2 linked regions of the Saccharomyces cerevisiae S288C genome follow. Changing the gene in region 2 together with the main gene of any one other region gives a genetic interaction. Each region holds a gene or a part of one and is shown on either strand. Other genes may lie near its edges. The genes, in order: NCR1 and OM14.

Region 1 (6,179 bases), on a different chromosome or scaffold from region 2:
AGCCACCCGTTCCATATCGTATACTATGGCTATTGAATAGCCGTCTGGAGAGAGAGATATTCCGTGTATGACAAGAGTTGTTTCATAATTATTGAATTCATTCCAAATTGTGCTCCATTTCTTGAATTTCTTCTCTAAGTAAGGCGCGATAATATTATCAGCCGTCACATGAAGTTCGTCTTCTAGTAAAACTTTATAACTAGTCTTATTGGACATCAATAATATCGTGCTCTCTTTCTCATGATTCAATGGGATTATATGAAAATTTTCGAGAGATCCTGTTTTCAAGCTAGAAATTGAATAATTTTTTAAATCTATCTTATGCACATATCCGGGACAAGTTAAAACCACCTTATAATCCACTATCTTTAAATCAGTAATTTTTCTTCTCGAAGCATTTTGTATCATTCTAGAAACGGGTTGATGAGAGGAAGCAGAAACTGTCATTGAAAATACAGAATTGTTTGAAAGCGCCGCTACAAGAACGTCTTCGTACCATACTATATGAGTGACCCAGTCTTTTGAGCCTGCGTCACTTAATCTAATACTACTCTCAAAATAAAATTCTGGAGTATTTTCTGAATTTTTGCGAATGCTAAAGAATTGAAGCTCACCGTCTTCATTACCAACCACGATTGATGATTCAATAGGATTCCATTCAAAACAATGGTAGGTTCTGCTACTTAAGTTTCCTTTTGAATCGAGATTTGTGAGCATTTTGTTATCTTTGAACACAGAAACATTACCATTATTGCTCAATACGGCCATCCAATCGTCTATTGGTGATGGCTTACAGACTCTGGGATAACAAACAGGTTGTGAATTTAATAACCCATTCTGTTGCGCCAGCTCGAAATCCAGTTTATTTTCAAATTCTAGCGGGAATTCTTTCACATGAAATAAATTCTTACTGTTGCAATTAATGTCTTTAGCATATTTTGGCTGCCCAATGCTAATATCAGGAAATGTGGTCAAATATAGAGTACCATCCCGAGCCCATGTTAAATTGTTCTTCCAATCCTCAAATTCCTTTCTATCTACCAATAAGTCCTTTAGAAGCTTCATTATGAATTGAATTGGCTTTCCTAACTCCTAACAAAGTTAGTCATGCTGCTTTTTTCATTATATATAATTCTGTCTAATCATTGTTTAGATCTCATTATTGAGAAAAGTGCGTTGCGCGTAAGAAACAGAATACACTTAAGGTGCGAAATGACGGAAGAAATACGCCATTTAAAGCCTTCCAATACGAAGCAAAACTTCAAAAGCAAATGCTGGGAAGTTGGATTATCTTTGGGAAGGTCTATTTCCTTTTTTATTGAAATAAATCATTCAGCTAATTGCATACCGTGGCTAATGTCACAACAGATGTAAGCAACAATTTAATCTTACATAAATGTGTTGCAGTTGTGGTATTTCGTAATATATACGCAATGATTCTCTCCTATTATTGAACTGCTATGCAGGTATTCGCTACATTGTTTTTCTACAGGCAGTCGTCGACATAAATAACTTGTATAATCATTTAAGCGCATCCCAGTAATTAACTATTACCGAACGATAGAGTAGTCAAGATATTCTCTTCCCATCACTAACATCAAGAGCGCCACTTTTTGGCAATTAAACTAGACTTCTGGATGGCGCTAGCCCATTACCTACAGTACTAAAGATTATTTGCGATATTCTGATAAAGAGCCTTGAACTTCTCGGGTGACCCCCTTAGCGTTTATATAGCGGGAGTGCCAAACGAGAGGAACATCAACAACCAGTATAACAACGTTCTTGTGTAGAAGATAACTAAATTCATCTCCAAAAAGAACAAGAGCAGAACTTCAATTAGTAAAACCATGAATGTGCTATGGATTATAGCACTAGTTGGCCAGCTGATGCGGCTCGTTCAGGGAACAGCTACCTGTGCCATGTATGGGAACTGTGGGAAAAAGTCAGTATTTGGAAACGAATTACCTTGCCCTGTGCCACGTAGTTTTGAACCTCCTGTTCTTTCAGATGAAACAAGCAAACTTTTGGTTGAAGTTTGTGGTGAAGAGTGGAAAGAGGTCCGTTATGCCTGCTGTACTAAAGATCAAGTGGTAGCACTGAGAGATAACCTACAAAAGGCTCAACCTTTAATTTCCTCATGCCCAGCATGCCTCAAGAATTTTAATAACCTGTTCTGTCACTTCACTTGCGCTGCTGACCAAGGAAGGTTTGTCAATATTACCAAGGTAGAAAAGTCAAAAGAAGATAAAGATATTGTTGCGGAATTAGACGTTTTCATGAATTCGTCTTGGGCATCTGAATTTTATGACTCATGTAAGAATATTAAATTTTCTGCTACCAACGGTTATGCGATGGACCTAATCGGAGGTGGTGCTAAAAATTACAGTCAATTCTTGAAGTTTTTGGGGGATGCTAAACCTATGCTTGGTGGATCCCCCTTTCAGATTAATTACAAGTATGATTTAGCAAATGAAGAAAAAGAATGGCAGGAATTTAATGATGAGGTTTATGCTTGCGATGATGCTCAATATAAATGTGCGTGTTCTGATTGTCAAGAGTCTTGCCCCCATTTAAAACCTTTAAAAGATGGCGTGTGTAAAGTTGGCCCTCTGCCATGTTTTTCCCTTTCTGTTCTGATCTTTTACACAATCTGTGCACTTTTTGCATTTATGTGGTATTATCTCTGTAAAAGAAAAAAAAACGGGGCAATGATTGTGGACGACGATATTGTTCCAGAATCAGGTTCCTTAGATGAATCAGAGACGAATGTATTCGAAAGTTTCAATAATGAAACTAACTTTTTTAATGGTAAACTCGCTAACCTATTTACGAAAGTGGGACAATTTTCCGTTGAAAACCCCTACAAGATATTAATAACCACTGTTTTTAGTATCTTTGTATTCAGTTTCATCATATTTCAGTACGCTACTCTTGAAACAGATCCAATTAATTTGTGGGTGAGTAAAAATTCTGAAAAATTCAAAGAAAAAGAGTACTTCGATGATAATTTTGGGCCATTTTACAGGACAGAGCAAATATTTGTTGTGAATGAGACAGGCCCTGTGTTATCATATGAGACACTTCACTGGTGGTTTGACGTTGAAAATTTTATTACGGAAGAGCTACAATCGTCAGAAAATATTGGATACCAAGATCTCTGCTTCAGACCAACAGAAGATTCTACATGCGTAATAGAGTCTTTTACTCAGTATTTTCAGGGGGCCTTACCAAACAAGGATAGCTGGAAAAGGGAACTGCAGGAATGTGGGAAATTTCCTGTAAACTGTCTACCTACTTTCCAGCAACCTCTAAAAACTAATCTTCTTTTCAGTGACGATGATATTCTCAATGCGCATGCGTTTGTTGTAACACTTCTATTGACCAACCACACTCAATCAGCTAATCGCTGGGAAGAAAGATTGGAAGAGTATTTATTGGATTTAAAGGTCCCCGAGGGCCTGAGGATCAGTTTTAATACCGAAATATCCTTGGAAAAAGAGCTTAATAATAATAATGATATCTCGACCGTTGCAATATCATACCTGATGATGTTTTTATATGCTACATGGGCCTTGAGGAGAAAGGATGGGAAAACTAGGTTGTTACTTGGAATATCTGGTTTACTCATAGTTTTGGCTTCTATTGTTTGTGCAGCCGGATTTTTAACTCTTTTTGGTTTGAAGTCGACATTGATCATAGCAGAAGTAATACCGTTTCTAATTTTAGCAATAGGAATAGATAATATTTTCTTGATTACACATGAGTATGATAGAAATTGCGAGCAAAAACCGGAGTATTCAATTGATCAAAAAATAATAAGCGCTATCGGGAGAATGTCTCCTTCCATTTTAATGTCATTGCTATGTCAAACCGGATGCTTCTTGATAGCTGCATTTGTTACAATGCCAGCTGTCCATAATTTTGCTATATATTCCACAGTTTCTGTTATATTCAACGGAGTATTACAGCTAACAGCGTATGTGTCCATTTTGTCTCTCTACGAAAAGAGATCCAATTATAAACAAATTACCGGAAATGAAGAAACTAAGGAATCATTTTTGAAAACGTTTTATTTTAAGATGTTAACGCAAAAGAGGCTCATAATCATTATCTTCTCGGCTTGGTTTTTCACATCTCTGGTTTTCTTACCAGAAATTCAATTTGGGCTAGATCAAACATTGGCTGTTCCACAGGATTCCTACCTGGTTGACTATTTTAAGGATGTTTATAGCTTCCTAAACGTAGGACCACCGGTTTACATGGTCGTGAAGAATTTAGATTTGACTAAAAGACAAAACCAACAGAAAATATGTGGTAAATTTACAACTTGCGAAAGAGACTCATTAGCTAATGTACTGGAGCAAGAAAGACACAGGTCAACAATTACGGAGCCATTGGCTAATTGGCTGGACGATTATTTCATGTTTTTAAATCCTCAAAACGACCAGTGTTGTAGATTAAAGAAGGGAACAGATGAGGTTTGTCCTCCCTCTTTTCCAAGTAGACGTTGTGAAACTTGTTTCCAGCAGGGTTCTTGGAATTACAACATGTCAGGGTTTCCTGAGGGCAAGGACTTCATGGAATACCTAAGCATATGGATTAATGCGCCTAGTGACCCCTGCCCTCTAGGTGGTCGTGCGCCATATTCGACTGCGTTAGTTTATAATGAAACGAGTGTGTCTGCGTCAGTTTTCAGAACAGCTCATCATCCTTTGAGATCCCAAAAGGACTTTATCCAGGCGTATAGTGATGGAGTTAGGATATCAAGTTCTTTCCCCGAACTAGATATGTTTGCATACTCGCCGTTTTACATTTTTTTTGTTCAATATCAAACTTTGGGACCATTGACGTTGAAGCTAATAGGGAGTGCCATTATCCTAATTTTTTTCATTTCATCTGTTTTCTTGCAGAATATACGCAGCTCATTCTTACTGGCTTTGGTCGTTACCATGATTATCGTAGATATTGGTGCTTTGATGGCCCTACTAGGTATCTCACTCAACGCTGTCAGTTTAGTCAATTTAATTATTTGTGTCGGTTTGGGTGTCGAGTTTTGTGTTCATATTGTTAGATCATTTACAGTGGTCCCCAGTGAAACCAAGAAAGACGCAAACTCAAGAGTTCTCTATTCCTTGAATACCATAGGTGAGTCCGTCATCAAAGGTATAACTCTAACCAAATTCATTGGAGTTTGTGTACTTGCATTCGCCCAATCGAAAATATTTGATGTATTTTACTTTAGAATGTGGTTTACACTAATCATTGTAGCAGCATTGCATGCTCTCCTATTTTTACCTGCTTTACTTTCATTGTTTGGTGGTGAAAGCTATAGGGACGATTCCATCGAAGCAGAAGATTAGCCATAGCAGATTATACTATATTTTACGTAGTGAAAAAATAGGTAAAAATTCGTTAATTATTCTGATGCCACACCAGAAAATCTGTGGGAAAATTTTTCGAGTCAGAAATGATAACACTAACACAGGCTTCGTTGTTATCGTGCATTGAAGTTAGATACTTCTACTATATTTAATCTTTAATAGTGTCATAAAAGTATTATTGGTTTCGGGCGAAAATCGTCATTTTCGCACACAGAACTTCAAAAGAGGAAAGGCCAAAAGAACTAAAACCGATTACTTCGGGGTGATTTTGTTCTGGCATCTTCTGGCACTCTTGGGCATCCTTAGCCATTTAGTATATTTATGAATACATTAAGGTGTTTGACACAAGCACTATCCAAAAGTGGGAGAGAAGCTCCAAAACTATATCAGAAAGTAATATTTCCAGGCCTGTTCAGAGAGGGTATACCAATTGCAAATGTCAAGAAAGTTGATGAAAAAATAATAGATAGCCCAACATCAACGTCAGTTAATGGAGAGGCAAAAAAAATAGTACGGCATGGTGTGAAGTATGAAAGGGAGCAAGTTAAGGAATACCTTTCAAGCCTGCCGACTTTAACGCTTTCTAGGAAACAAATTAGGGATGACTATGATGAGGAACGTGCAAAACGAATGTATATGTTCTCTAAACAAACGAATTCCTCGAATAAATTCCAGAAACTTCTTACAGCAAAGTCTCAAGAGTTTACTAGAGAACTATTGACGCTACTGATAGATTGCACATCGAATGAGAAGAATTCAGGGCCAGAACGCTTCACTCGTAAGTTTCTTAAGTTTAGT
Region 2 (3,006 bases):
TCGGCGTCCACTTTGTAATAGCAGTGATGAGATTTGGCAATATTTTCTGCATAAACCCTGTTTCTATGGCAAAACCCAGATTGCGCACACTTCTTTAATAGATAGTCGGTAAACGCATGCGAAAAAGCGGTAAAGAAGACCAATTGGCATACGAGCCATTTCAAAAGGACCATGTTGCATACGGTTGATTCGAGACCGCTATTTTAAGATACGCAGAGCAATCAAATAACTCCAAGCAACATGTTCATTGAGTTATAGCTCTCAAGTGCCGTAGTGAGAAAATGTCGTGGTCCGGGTAAAACAAATTAAGGGTACTTGAAATGAAAAAAGAATGATAGTAGACAGAAAAGCTATTATATTATAGAAACTTATCACTTGACCGATGAAGAGGAAAGCACGTTTCCTTACAAATAAATCAGCAGTAATAGTTATAAAAATATATGTATATAAAGTGTGTGAGTGTGTGAGTGTGTGAAAGGATGTTATTAAATAGTATGTTATTATTTCTTGTCGTATCTGGAGTAGTATTTCTTTGAAATTATACCGTCCAGCGTCAAAAGACCCAGAGCGCCGGCGGTTGTTGCTAAGACTGTAGAGTTAGGTTTCCCCTTCAAGAATCTGGCGTTGTGGTTCGCATACCCGTTACATAAATAACATACCACTGAAGAATGCAGCAACAAGTTGACCAAGACAACGGGATTCTGAAGTTCTAAAAAGCATACTTTGGCAAAGTCTTGCGTCTTACTGACAAAAGCTTGGAGGTAGCCGCAAGCGACTGCTGATGCACTATTTAACCGTGCCTTCAGATATTCGATAGCGCATTCCTTCTTATTGTTGTGGTGGTGACCGTCTTCAGAGTCAGAATTTGGGCTAGCGTTACTGTCGTGTTTAGCACTGGGGAAAAGAAAGATGGTCATAGATGATATACGTTAGTCAAAAGAGAACCGGGAGAAAAGATTAGGCGATACGTTTCAGATATTAGTGTACATACGTTGCAGACATATTATGAGATGCTGGAGGTAGATGTTATGTTTCTAATTGTTGGAATAGGGTTACGTCGGCGGTTTCGGTTGAAGTGGGCACATTGATCGACACTTTATATACGCAGGGACGATTAACGGGAGAGGAGGTAGCGGCGGCGTCATTGGCCGCTGGCCCGGGGTAGTAGGGCAGGGAAAGGGGACGGTGAAAAAATAAAACGTAAGTGGGACAGCAGAGATTTGAGGAGTTGAGGCAAGAACAGAGGAGAGAACGAGAAAGCGGATAAGCAACAAAGGAAAAGGAAACAAGTAAAAAAAAAAAAAGAGACTAGCATGAGAAACGAATTATACCAGTTATGGTGTGTGGCGAGTGCAGCAAGAGGGGTAGCCAAGAGCTCATTCGTAAGGGCCAATTCGGCCATGTGTGAGTACGTGCGCACGTCCAACGTCTTGAGTCGCTGGACTCGGGACAGGCAATGGGAAGCAGCTAAGGCCCTATCACAACGGGTCAAGAAAGAGTATGCCGCCAATTAGTGCACACACATACATATATTTTATATACTTACATATTTGGTTGCGTGGTATATAGAATCTCTCCTTTCGCTTCATGAATGAACTCATTCATGCGAAGTCAAAGGAAAAAAAAAATAAAAAAATAAAAGAGCGAACGGGAAGACGAGAGAAACATCAAGCGACCAAAGTAAAAGTCAAGAACGACTCCACAAGTGCGAGGGTCGCGACGTCTCTAACTTTAAAAACAGGCGTCAACCATCAAGTCCGTTTCTTGATGCCGCCGGCATTCTTCAAATCCCTCCAAAAAAAACGCCTCTATGACATAGGCGGTTAATAAAACTGGCCTTGAAACAACAGATGCAGTCATGGCTCTTCTCTTTTCCCAGCAAACGCCTTCCATTGCCTCCTTTTTTTCTCTTCCAGAACTCTCTCAGCAGTATTCTCACAAACACATCTCCTCCCCTTTAGCAAACCTCCATTTATATCCTGCGAGAAGAGCTCCTTCTCCTCAATGAGAAAATAAGCACAAAATAAACTGGGAAAAAAAATATAGTAAAAGACGCCAGCACGTTAACAATGGAACACTCTTATTGTAGACCAACCCCACCCTACACCCCCTCAAACCGAGGACACTTCAAAAGGAAAATCAACAACTTTGGCCGATACTTGGGGGATAAGCAAGCTTATCCTATTACATCAAAAAAAGAATCGTAAGACACCTTTCCTTGCAAACCAAAAATCATAACAAAGTCGAAAAACTTCCTCTTGCAGCGCCACCAGAAAAAGAAGACGAGCGAAGAAATCAACAATAAGAGCGCCCCATCCGCACTAGCACCCCATACCATAAATATTATCTCCCAACCTACTATAGCACCATTTCTTCCCATCGATAAAGAAAAACCAAATCCCGCGTTGGACATAAACGGCTCGGAAAGACAGGGAAGAGTATGAAGCAAAAAGCCAAACTAAGGGAGAAACAGAAAGCTAAAAAAAAGAAAATAGAAAACAACCAGAAGAAAACAAAAACAATAACCTTGAGCAACCGTCGTCTCAAAAACCAATTTCGAAAAACCATCATAAAAACGCCTTATGAAGAAACCATGAGCGAAGAAAAATAGCAGCAAAAAGTAGTGAGACCTGACATTAGCGGAAAACAACTTGCTTAAAAAGTCTCTTCCCGTCCATTTTATTATTTTGGGTGCCAAAAAATGTGTATTGTAACAAATTAAAAGGTAATGAGCCTCATTGAGGTCATTTCAGTTGTTACACTGAAAAGAACAGATACTACACTTGATCTAAGCCAAAAGGCAAAGAGATTCGTGGGGATTTAAAAAAAAAACAAGTAGAAACAAAATGAATAAATCTGATAACAAGTAAAGTACTCATCGATGAAAAAATGAATGTAGAGCCCTTTTTATATGTTTTCACCGAGTGGCCCATCGGAAACGGCAAAAAAAAAAAAAGAAAGAAAAAAGAAAAGAAACATAGAGCGTTGCTAGGTTTTTTTTGCCAC

The links.
Region 1: mutations in OM14 (region 2) and NCR1 together harm fitness more than expected from each alone (negative genetic interaction), as found in Saccharomyces cerevisiae (2 studies listed by BioGRID).

The regions. Positions count from the first base shown.
Region 1 is NC_001148.4:542,784-548,962, forward strand, and holds NCR1 (sphingolipid transporter), read left to right. Parts: upstream 1-1,847; coding exon 1,848-5,360; downstream 5,361-6,179. Other genes in the region: transcription factor TFIIIC subunit TFC8, read right to left, coding at 1-1,065; AEP3 (Aep3p), read left to right, coding at 5,703-6,179. UniProt on the Saccharomyces cerevisiae protein: Involved in sphingolipid trafficking. May recycle sphingolipids between cellular membranous compartments.
Region 2 is NC_001134.8:679,049-682,054, forward strand, and holds OM14 (Om14p), read right to left. Parts: upstream 1,003-3,006; coding exon 992-1,002; intron 895-991; coding exon 501-894; downstream 1-500. Other genes in the region: glucan 1,3-alpha-glucosidase ROT2, read right to left, coding at 1-173; COQ21 (Coq21p), read left to right, coding at 1,314-1,514.